Rattus norvegicus: one gene and its partners. The protein of the gene in region 3 interacts with the protein of the main gene of each other region in a pairwise test. Links are inferred from orthologs where the notes say so. Each region holds a gene or a part of one and is shown on either strand. Other genes may lie near its edges.

Region 1 (3,949 bases), on a different chromosome or scaffold from region 3:
CTCAGCCATTTAAGTCTGGTCAAGCTTGGCAGCGGCTGCCTTCACTTGCTGAGCTCAGATGGTCAGTCCCTAGCCTAGCTCTCTCTCTCTCTCTCTCTCTGTGTGTGTGTGTGTGTGTGTGTGTGTGTGTGTGTGTGTGTGTGTCCGCACATGCACACACGCACATTGTTGATGTGAATTCCATTTTAGCTAAAATCAATGAACAGGGAGTAGCTTTCCCTGTGTCTGAACACCCTCTCGTGTTGCTTACTAAAAATGTTTGACTCTCCAAGCCAGCTGTGAGCTTGTTTGAAGGGAAGAATCCATTGTGTTAGTCTTGGTAGGATATGTATGACATAGTGCATAGCAAAGGTTCTTTGAATTCCCCAAAATAACTGTAAACGAACCCATTAGTATACTTAAAAAGACTGCTCTCTAGGCTGTATGTTCCATTGGAGGACTGCTTGAGCAAAGCAAGCCAAAGTTGCTGTGTCCCTCCAGGTTTGGGCCTAAGCTTTGGCTTGGAAGATCAGAGCCCACATCTGGCCAAAAGGTTCTGCTTTTCACTGGCCCCTGAGTCTTACATAGTGTGTATGAGGTCGGGGGAGTGAAGGTGGGTGTCAGTCCCGAACCTTGTCCAGGCTTCTTGTGTTTTTAGTAAGGAAGTTGTTGAGACTAGTTTAGGGTCAATTAGAGGAGTCTTGGGCTAAGGAGGATGCTGAACTTGGGTAATAGACATGGGGAGTTAGCCCACGACTTGAGATGGAAAAGTCTGGGTTACCGAGGGTTCTGATCTTTCCTGGGAGGGCATGCGGAAGTTCTGAGTTGTCTCTGTCCGTAGGCTTGATCTCTCTCTCTCTCTCTCTCTCTCTCTCTCTCTCTCTCTCTCTCTCTCTCTCTCTCTCTCTCTCTCTCTCTCTCTCTCTCTCTCTCTCTCTCTCTCTCTCTCTCTCTCTCTCTCTCTCTCTCTCTCTCTCTCTCTCTCTCTCTCTCTCTCTCTCTCTCTCAAGAAAGGGGTGGGGTCCGTGCCGAGCTGTGGCACGGAGGACTCCAGGCCGGCAGGGGGCGCTGCGCCTTGCGCCAGGCTTAGCTCGGCTCCGGGTCGGCAGAGGGCGCTGTGGCGCGGGCGGCGCGGCGGGCTTCCGGCAGGTGGCGCCGTGGCCTCGGGGCCCAGGCCGGCGGGCGGGCGGCGGCGCGGCGCTGCGGCCGGCGGCTCGCGGCCCCGGAGCGGCGGCTGCGCGGGAGGTGGAGCGCCAAGCGGCAGGCCCGGTGCGGGCTGGAGCGCGGAGCGGCGAGCGCACCGGCCGCGGCCGCGCGGAGCCCGCCATGACGGCGCGAGTGTGAGTCGCGGCGAGCACCGGTCCAGGAGAGCGGCGGGCGCGCCGGCCTCTTACCCCGCAGCGGCCCGGCCGGGGCCCGTTGAGCAGCGGCCTCGGCCTCCGGCGCAGCCCGGAAATGTCCGGCAAGATCGAGAAAGCAGGTGAGGCGGTCGGGCGGGCGGGCGGGCGGCGCGCCTCCTTGGCTTCATGTGCTCGACCCCCTGTCCGGGCCCCAGCCTGGCAGTGACGCCGCGAGGGCCATCTTTGAGCAGGGCCTGCCTGGCGCCGGGGGGACCCGTGATGCTAGCGGGATTCTGGGGGAGCTAGTGGAGGTCCCGGTAGCCTTGTTCCCTGGAACCTCCCACAATGGCTGGAGTCCGGGACCCTTAGAAGGCCGGGCCCCGACCGCATGCAGAAGGACAGGCGCGCTCTAGAGGTGATCGCCAGCCCAGTTATAAAATGTGTCACTCCTAATGAGCCTCGAGTTTAACCACAAGTGTTCACTTCGGTGGCTTCAAAGGACAGCAGGCTAGGGTGTGTTGGAGCGATGTTTCAGGGAGCAGCCAAGTTGTCCTCCGATATTTCTTCCTCGCTCTGCAAGCAAGGCAAGTGGAGAGCCATAGGGTTTGGGGGAGAAGGTGGATGCGATCTTGATGCAAACCTCATCTCTTTGTGTGTTCCTGGAAATCTTGGGGAGTCGCCTCCCAATTCTTCTCCCCGCCCCCCAGCTTGCATATTCTGGGAGTTAGATACTCCCGAGAGTCAATTACTGTTGTGCATATGGGGCCCAGAGCTTAATTAGCCGTCAAGCAGGGATTCCTTGTATGAGAGGGCGGATTCTTGGCTGCTAGGTGAGGTAGGCAGTGGTCCAGGGCCTGTGTTGGGGGTTGTCACGGTGGGGATACCCAGTTAGCCTGGAAACTCTGTAAAGAAGGCAGAACCTGAAAAGGTGTTCGGCAGCACTAATGTTTGGAAGTTGCCGTTTCATAGGTGGACTTGGGGATATTTGGATTTGTATTAGCTGTGAACCAACAAGCAATGGCTGTAACTTTTGCAGCCCTAGTTTCAACACAGGGCAGAACGTTTTGGTTCTCCTTATTGAGCATCTGTTATGTGTCTTCTCTGTGTTTGGTCTCTTGGTTGTCTTGTTTATTAAAAATACTTGAAGATTGCCTACCGGAGTGTGGTCTCTGTTTTAAGGACCCAGAGAGGCTCAGTGAATTTTTGTAGCCCACCCAGCAAGGATCATAGATAGGGTATTGACATCAGCCTCTGACAAGAAGCAGGATACCATTCTCATGGCTGGACTGTTCCTTTGCAGATGCTGTTTCTGGGGTGTTTGTCTCCTTGTCCTCTTGCCCGGAGGCCTTGTCTGGTGACTATGAGTCGCTTTCCTGAATACGTGCTGCTCTGGAATTATCTCTGGCCCATCTGCGCAGCACTGCTTATGAACTCTTTACAGTGTCTCTTCCGAATGACACTGTTGGGAAACTTGGATTATTTATTTGAAAATAGCGTTCATGTGCTGGAGAGATGGCTGGGCAGTCAACAGCACTTGTTGCTCTTGAGCACCCAGGTTCAGTTTCCGGCACCCATGTGGCATCTCACAACTCCAGTTTCAGGAGGTCTGACCTCAATGGGCACCAGACACACATGTGGTGCACCGACATACAGACAGGCAAAACATTGTTGTATGTAAATGAAATAAATACATCTAGATACATTTTAAATAGCATTAGCTGAGTTTTCTCTATCATTATGAAGAATTTGGAACCCCTGGAAGCACAGGGGCTGGCATGTGCTGTCACCTTGGGGCTTCCTTCCACAGCTCAGAATGACAGAGCCTTCTACTCAGCGTCTACCCCAGGCCCTTTCAGCAGCGCTCACGCCTGGGTCTTCCTAGGCCACTGTCCTCTGCTAGGGCTGCTGCAATGCCCTCTTTAGAAGAGCTTGTCTGAGAATTGGTAGTGGTATCTTCCCTGCCAGACCCATGAAGATTCTGAACCCAGTTGTGGAAGGTCCTGGAAGGCCTGTTCACTAGACCAGGAAAAGAAAGGCTTTTTTTCTTTCTTTCCTTTTTTAAATTAAAATTTTTCTTTAAATCCACCCTCCCTGTCACCCCTACCCATAATCCCTTCCCCACCCCTTCTCCTCTGAGTAATTGGAATCCCCCTGGGTATCACCCCACTTGGGCACTTCAAGTCTCTCCAAGGCTTTCTTACAGAGGGAGAGATGGCGAGAGGGAGCTGCAGAAAGGATGGGAGGAAGGTGCCTTTGGGGAGAAGCAGCTAGAGGTGATAGAGTTCTTGGGTGGCCATAGCTGGGACTCACAGATGAGATGACAGGAAGGAACCCTCGTGCAGTGCTCTCTGCTGTGGTCTGCGTACCCTGCCGGGGAAGATTGGGGTGTGCTTGGGATGAGGGCTTCCCCTCTTGGAGCTACTGTGGGTCATCCTCAGTGAACATGGTGTGCGTTCCGCCAGAGTTCCTGTTTGGTTGTGAGGTGGGCCTGCTGTTAAGCGTGAGCGATGGTGTGCTGGAGAGACACCTTTATTCAGCCAGGTACTGGTCTCTAGTGACTGTGGAGGAGCCCACACCCACTAACAGTTGCTGTTTTCTGTGCTTCAAAGAACAGAAGTGTTGCCAAAATA
Region 2 (3,991 bases), on a different chromosome or scaffold from region 3:
TTCTGGGAAGGGCCCAGAGTCTGAGACATTTCACAATAACCTCAACTAACCTCCCAGCTTTATTCGCCCCCTCCCCAAACCCCATCATATCTACCCTGTTGGTCTGCTGCCTTCCTCGCATTTTTTTAATTCACAGTTTGTGGCTTACGCATCAAACTGTAAGACCACCAGAACAGGTCATGTCCACACTGTACACTGGGGTACTCACCCGTGGGAACATCATCAGTAAGTAACAGATGAATACATCAGTGTGGAAAGCCTTCACTCTGATGATTCACCAAATCTGTACCAAACTCAGGGTCTTTGGCATAGCCAGACCTTCTGCCAGCAATTCCTCTCTTCCACATCCTCCTACCTAACCCCATCTGCCTGATTCCTGCTAACCTTGGGGGTTCTAAGACTGACATTTCCTCTGGAAAGTCTTCCTGATTCCCTCAGTCTGATTGGGTTCCCTCCCCCGCTCTCCCCCCATCATGCTTTGTGTCCAGTTGGAACGGGGCCACTGGCATATGGGTGAGCACCATCTCTCACTTCTATTTGCCCCTCCGCGCCCGCTAAACTGAAAGTTGGGGTGGGGTGAGGCTGCTATCTGGCTGTGCTCTCAATGCCTGTAAGCCCCCCCGCACTTGACACGTGGCATTTCCTCAAAACGAATGGAAATGGAAACATGTATTAGCGGAGGGTTTGAAGGGGAAAGATTTTAGAGGGAGATGAGATTGGACAAGGCCACAGAGGTTGAGTTTTGGTAGAAACTGGAGGGTTTAGATCTTCGTGGTGAGTGATCTTAGGACAGAAGCACCCAAGCAAAGGCCCACACCTCCTCTTGTGGCACTACGCTGGGGAGATCTGCCAGAGAAGGCCCTCTGATTGGCCAACAGTGTGTTAGGAAAGAAGACCAACACCAAGGGGCTATCAGCAAGAGCAGAGGAATTTTTACATGGAAGCTGAACTCGAGACTCCTAAACCCACAAGAATGCTGGGGAAACTGAGCCTCTGTGAACCTCTCCTTACTCAGACCCTACACACCCAGCCCTTTTCCCCACCTTCTCGCAGTGGTCGGAGTCGTAGCTAAGGCCCAGGCCACAGTCGTCCGTGATCTCAGATAGGTCTTCATCATCAAATTCTTCCAGGCTTATGTCCTGGGGAGGCCTGAAGAGGGTGCGGGGGTCAGAGAGTCACCTGTCCTGGGCTCCTGACCTGACAGCTGATCCTGAGGACATTGGTGGGAAATGTCCAGCTCCCAGGGCCCTCCACTCATATGCTAAAGCCACGTCATTTTGACCCCAGGCACTGCTCTCCCCTGGGTCCCCTCCTCCACCACTGCAAATGAGCCCAGAGGAGGCATCGGTCCACAAACCCCTCCCACTCCTTTTCAGCTCAGCTCCCAGCCCCTGTGGGCCACAGCTTCAGCCTCAGGGGAGACACCTTGAACCCACAGGGGGAGGGGTAATGGCTACAACAGGAGAGGGAGGGGTCCAGCTGTTCTGCTTGTGTCCCCACCCACTCCTACAGAACAGGCCTACATCCAAAGATCCAGCCCCCTCCAATCCCAACTTCTCCATCTCACCCCCAGAGCTTCAAGCTTGATTTCACTCTCTGCCGTCCTGGGGGGCTGGGGGACAGGCCCTAGCCTCTATGGAAGGAGACACAACAAGGCCAAAAGGACACTGCCAGGAACGGAGTAGGTGTTGAGCACCCTGCCTAAAATCCCTCAAAGGGTCAATCCAGAGACCCCACCCTTGCTAGGTCATCGGCCTTGACTGGGTGCGGTTCCGTGGCCCAACTGGAAAAGTGAATATGTGTCTGTGTTTGGGGAGGGGTGGGGGAGGAATGGGTGCCATCGGGTCTGCGCGACAAGGAGCAAACACGGAGGGACCCGGAGCCTAGGATGGGGGATGGGAGCATCAGGCAGAGGCCTGCAAACCAAGGAGGCGCCCCGGCCTGGGTAGTTGAAGTCGATGGGGTGGGGTGGCAGGCCGAAGAGACCTACGTGAAGATGAGCCCCGCCGAATGAATGCGTACCTGCAGCCCGGAGGCGACAGCGAGTGAAAGGTTGAGAGAGAAAACATCTCCGCGCGATCCGCCATCTTCCCAGGAACCGCGGGCCGGCAGTGAGGGGGAGGGGTGAGGAGCACCGCGCGCCCTTGGTGCTCAGGCTCGCGGCCTCTGTCTCCCCACTCACCTCGTGACACGCCCTGCGACACCCGTCGGCGACACACCTCAGCGCCCTGCCAGGACACCGCGGCAGCGAGCCGCGCCGCAGGGGTGAGGGGAGGGAGTGGCGCAGGGCGGGGCCTGAGGTGGGGGCGGAGGAATGGGGGTCGAGCCGAGGGGGGGGGTGGGATGCGGGATGCGAGGTGGTGGTGGTAGCGGTGGTAGTGGTGGTCGTGAGATTCTGGTCGGGAAAGCTGGCGTGCGGCTTGCGTGGTTCTAGGCGACGAACTGGCGAGAAGGGATAGGTGGAAGCAGAGGCGCTGGTAGACCAAAGGTTTCTGCAGGAGCCGAAGAGATGCGGGGGGGAATGGGTGCGGTAGACCCAGGAGCCAGGACCAAGGCGGCCCGGGTCTGTGCGCCTCTAGTTACGGCGGTGTGCAGTGCTTCTGGGAGGTGGACGGCTCATGTGGGGTGATGGGCGAGGACTTAGGAACAGCATTCATGCCCGGTAAATTCGAAAAGCAGAGTTGGTCAGGAAGCCCCTCAGACCTCCTAACACACCAGACCTACTAACCCGCTAGACCTCCTAAACCGTTAGACCGCCTAACCGGTGGCCGAGGGAGCTGTCCACTCCAGGGTGCTGATCAGACCTTGTCGGAGCTGTTCTCCACTGGGTGCTGATGGAGCCAAAAGAAACTTAAGATTTGCTGACTCCAGCTAGAGAAGTCATTATCCTGACAGTGCTAATGGGACTAGGACAGTGACTCTGTCTTAAAGGATGTGAATAGATCTGGAATCAGAGTCCAGAACCCAGAGGCCAACGCTGAACTTTCTCTGTGTGGTACAGACTGAAGAACCTGGACAAAGATAGTGGTGGGCACCAGAAAGTTGAGGCTGTGTTCATTCAACCGAACTGCTGTTTCTTGGGGCCACCTATGCTCTTGGCTCTGTTCTAGGTATGGAAAACCTCCAAGCTGAAGCATGGGCTTACTACGGAGTTCTGTGCGGAGAGAAAGGGCAGAAATGGAGCCAACTGTGAAGTGAGAGAAAGGATCAAAGTTATGTTGGACAAGTTAGAGGACCTCACACTGGAATTAGTTTTGAAGGAAGAACGAGACACTAGAGTGTTAAGGCTGGAAGTCACAGAGCACAAGGGGCTCAGAGAGTCAGGTGGGGTGCCCTGATGAACCAGCTTCTTTTTTTTTTTTTTTTTTTGGTTCTTTTTTTCGGAGCTGGGGATCGAACCCAGGGCCTTGCGCTTCCTAGGTAAGCGCTCTACCACTGAGCTAAATCCCCAGCCCCATGAACCAGCTTCTTAATTTCTGAATGGCCAAGTGTGACTTCTCCAAGAAGTCTCCAGGCTTTCTCAGGATGCACTGGAATTGTACAATCTAAACTCATCTCAGACTATAACTTCCACACCCCACACAAGCCTCCCTCTTACCAGATGATCACATCCAGATCCCCAAAGCATGAACAATCTGGGGAGGGGTTACCTCCCACTTCTCCTGTGGAGTTTCTCTTTGGTTCCAAGAGCACGGATTCTCCAGACTTAGGATCTGAGAGTGAATACCCATCTTCATTTAGCCACAAACGTTCTGGACATAAGGCAACTGTTCAGTGCACCAGAACCCAGTTTCTCCATCTGAATAAAGGCGCTGTGACACACACACACACACACACACACACACACACACTCACACACCACGCACAATGATTTAATAACGATCACTCAATAGTCATGCTTCAAAGGTGCAGCAGTCAGGCATGGAGGCATGTGTCTTTAATCCTGGCATACAGGAAGCAGAAGCAGTTGGGTCTCTGTAAGTCTGAGGCT
Region 3 (3,511 bases):
CAGTGGAATGAATGGTGTTAGTGGTGGTGCACTTCAGAAAAAGCTATCACAATCAGAAAGTTTCCAAGGCAGATTTGAGCTACAGATTTCCAAATTTCTTTTCCTCACCACAAATCACAGGATTTCTTCTACTCTGTGAAAGCTCACCATCCCTCTCCTATCGCTTTCTGTCTCATTAAGACGACATGTTGTGTGTTTTCACCTGCACCACTCTCAAATATCAGCCAAACACAAACAGGGAGGCGCCCTATAAAACGCCCAGTCATATTTCCCCAGTGTCGAGACAATGAAAACCAGCAAAGACAGGAGCTGGGGAAGTTTGAAGGGGACCAGGAAGACCTCAGACACCAATGCAGTCTGGGGTCCTGGAGAGGGCAGAGAAAGAATGATGCATTCATGGAAAATCTGGCGAGCCCAGAATGAAGTACACGTTTGAGGGAAGAGCACTGCACAGTGTCAGATTCCTGATCTTAAATTTCATATCTACTCACGTAGGTCGTTCACATTAGGGGAAGCCGAGCGGAAGATGGTCTTTGTGTGACTTTTGTACCTCTTCTTTAAGACACATTTGGAAAAAAAAATGACTAGGCTTTTGTTATGGCCAACTTACTGTTGCTTTGTTCTGCCACGAATTATTTCTAGGTTCTCAAAAGCATGGAGGTCAGTCCAGTTTTCAGGCCAAGCCTGAATCAGCAAAAACCCTAGAAGGAAGAAGAAAGGCTTAGACACACTGTTAGATACTTCTAGGACTCGGATAAGGCTGCTGTATGAACCGTGGCAGTGGATTCTTCCTGTCCCTACCACTAAGGATGATAGTGTATGTCCTGACACAGTCAGGTGGGCAAAAAAGAAAGAATCCTGCCCCTTCTATGCAGCCTTGAATCCCTGGCTGCCCTTCCCTCAATGTGCAGGCCAACTCCCACCTGACAGGTTGACCAAGTGCTCTGGCTCTGATGTCCTTGAAGGACATCAGATTATACACCGGATCCTTCCCTGACTGTTTTTCAATCTCCTGTTACAGTGTTCTCCTTTTAAATATTTTTTTCAATTTAACTCTGATCTTCATATCAATCTTGTCTTGGAGATCAAGTTATCTCCCTTTCAAGGATGAGGAAAATGTTGTGCCAGTGGCGGTCATAGATCCAAGACTCCCTGGTGGGCAATCATTTGAAATCTAGTTTGTGAAACTCGAGAGCCTGCATTGCCCACTAGCGTTCAACCTAGTAGCCTTCTCTCCATCTTCTCTCTGGCGTTTGGCGTCTGTAAGGATGATGGACTGTTTGAGCAAGAAAGAACCATTGTGCATGTCCATATCATGTCCATCATGGGTGCAGCAGCCTCGGCTTAAAGTGGTTTCAACTTGCATCAAGGGAAACTGGCTTTGAAAAGTGTCTCAAAAAAATTAATCGCAATGGTTAAGCTTCAGACACTACATTCTCATGTCAGGGAAGAAGGGGAAATGTCTGAGAGTCTCTATAAAATTGAATTTTCCATATATGCCCCTGAATATTCCAGTACAAACCTGTTATTTCCTTCACAGTTTTGAGAATTTCTAGTTCCCGTGGGTCTAGAGGAGGAGTGCGGGTGAAAGAATCCCTGAAAGAAACAGCAACGTGATTATTGGCCATTCTCCATGGCTTAAAGAAGTAGACTTCAGGGGTTGGGGATTTAGCTCAGCGGTAGAGTGCTTGCCTAGCAAGCACAAGGCCCTGGGTTCGGTCCCCAGCTCCGGAAAAAAAAAGTAGACTTCATAGCTCTCCGTCCAGATGGCTCGGCTGTTACTCACCCCTTAAAGGCCACTGGCAGGATGTGGAGGTCCCCACTGATGGCAGTGCAGTACTTGAAGTGTTTGATGTTTGTAGCATTTATGGAGAGTGTGTCTTTAAATTCACCAATGCCTATGCCATTGCAAACTGTTAAGAGAGGTGGGTGTTCCATTTACATTTGTCGAATTAAGAAGGCTGGGTCTGCACAAGCAGAAGCATGAACCCTGCCACCACCCCAGTGACTCTGAGTGAACCCTCAAGGTACCAAAACTCCTGTGACAGGCCTGTTTTCATCAGTCACTGGAGTGGGGCTTGGGATTGTCCTTGTCCCAGACCTCTTGTCAGATTTGAATTTTTTCTGTCGTTTTCTACCTGGACTGGATCTATAGCCACTCACAAAGACATCGGCTCCTCCCCTTTCTGTCTACGACAGATCACTCCCCTGGGCTGCAGGTGGCGCCTCGTACCTGGCTCAAGAGAACTCCCCCACACCCTCCACCATGTAATTTGGCTTTACAAGTTTATCTTCTACTTTACAGACAAAACGCATTTTTATTTTCTAAGTTAAAAGGCTGAGGTGTGTTTGTTTGGAGGTGGCTATAAGAGTTCGGCACAAAGGTCAAGAAAAAAACCTACTGCACACCCGTAAGGCTCCTTACCTTTGCGGCAGGGCCCATCACATTTTTTACACTTGCTGACTCCATCTTCTTCTACTTCATAGTAGTCTGGCCCACAGGCCCGGACACACGAGCCGTGATCTGTCACCACGTAGTTTCCTGAGGAAGAGGCAATGAAAAGAAGGTGTTGAGGGCCACAGCAGGTGCTCCTAACTTTCCACAAACATCCTCAAGTCCTGATGAATGTGGGCTGCTGAAAAGGTTCCTCTCAGTTTGGTTGACTTTACTTTGAGGAGAAAGACAGGCAGGTTTCAAGTAGAAGGGGAACAAAGCCCTGGCTTAATGACTTTCTGACCGTAATGTGGAGAAACACAGCCACTAGGTCTCAGGTGCAAAACGGCTGTGGGAGGAAACGCCACCATGTGTGCTCGCTGACTGAAAATCCCACGCTGAGCGCAAGTTTCCTCTGACAGGTCTATGTCTACAATATATAAGGAGACCTTGGATATGTATCACACACACACACACACACACACACACACACACACACACACGCACACGCACACGCACACGCACACGCACACACACACAAATGCTCATTAGACAGACCATGTCCCATTGAGGTGACCGCAGTTTGTTTGTTTGACACCAGCTTTGTCCTTTCCCATCTGCCATGCTGTCCTTGGTGGGACAATGAGAGGACCAGTTTGTTCTACTTCCTAGACAGGTACCCCGATCTTTGTCTCCACTCCCCCCACCTTTGTATTGTTTATCTCAATTAATTTTATGATCATAGCATTACTAGGAACTCTATGCTCCTGTTTTGAGTTTCCCAGACACAGGCTCAAAATATATGAGCATTGGTACTATATCTGCGAGTCATATGCTCTGGTTGCTGTAGGTTTTGTTTCCTGTAGATTTTAAAGATCTGTTTACTAAGCTTTCACACAAAGATCCTGTCTCTGGCATGACTGTGGTGAATTTTTCTTCATCTTAGTTTTCCAATTACTTTATAATGGCTTATTATTCTCCCCCCTCCCCGTGTGTGTGTGTGTGTGTGTGTGTGTGTGTGTGTGTGTGTGTGTTCTAAATGGTCTTCCATCACTTGAATTTAGGTAGGCCAAATCC

Evidence for each region.
Region 1: the proteins of Egfr (region 3) and Rapgef1 interact in a protein complementation assay, tested with the Homo sapiens proteins (3 studies listed by BioGRID and IntAct, with this or other methods). The link is inferred for Rattus norvegicus from reciprocal best matches to the Homo sapiens genes EGFR and RAPGEF1.
Region 2: the proteins of Egfr (region 3) and Mapk8ip2 interact in binary tests that used the Homo sapiens proteins (3 or more experiments, as listed by UniProt). The link is inferred for Rattus norvegicus from reciprocal best matches to the Homo sapiens genes EGFR and MAPK8IP2.

What each region holds. Positions count from the first base shown.
Region 1 is NC_086021.1:33,295,091-33,299,039, forward strand, and holds the start of Rapgef1 (Rap guanine nucleotide exchange factor 1), read left to right. Parts: upstream 1-1,139; 5' UTR 1,140-1,434; coding exon 1,435-1,459; intron 1,460-3,949. UniProt on the Homo sapiens protein: Guanine nucleotide-releasing protein that binds to SH3 domain of CRK and GRB2/ASH. Transduces signals from CRK to activate RAS. Involved in cell branching and adhesion mediated by BCAR1-CRK-RAPGEF1 signaling and activation of RAP1.
Region 2 is NC_086025.1:122,405,169-122,409,159, reverse strand, and holds the start of Mapk8ip2 (C-Jun-amino-terminal kinase-interacting protein 2), read right to left. Parts: upstream 2,811-3,991; 5' UTR 2,088-2,810; coding exon 2,023-2,087; intron 1,150-2,022; coding exon 1,044-1,149; intron 1-1,043. UniProt on the Homo sapiens protein: The JNK-interacting protein (JIP) group of scaffold proteins selectively mediates JNK signaling by aggregating specific components of the MAPK cascade to form a functional JNK signaling module.
Region 3 is NC_086032.1:95,500,623-95,504,133, reverse strand, and holds part of Egfr (epidermal growth factor receptor isoform 1 precursor), read right to left. Parts: intron 2,543-3,511; coding exon 2,426-2,542; intron 1,914-2,425; coding exon 1,787-1,913; intron 1,597-1,786; coding exon 1,523-1,596; intron 702-1,522; coding exon 611-701; intron 1-610. UniProt on the Homo sapiens protein: Receptor tyrosine kinase binding ligands of the EGF family and activating several signaling cascades to convert extracellular cues into appropriate cellular responses.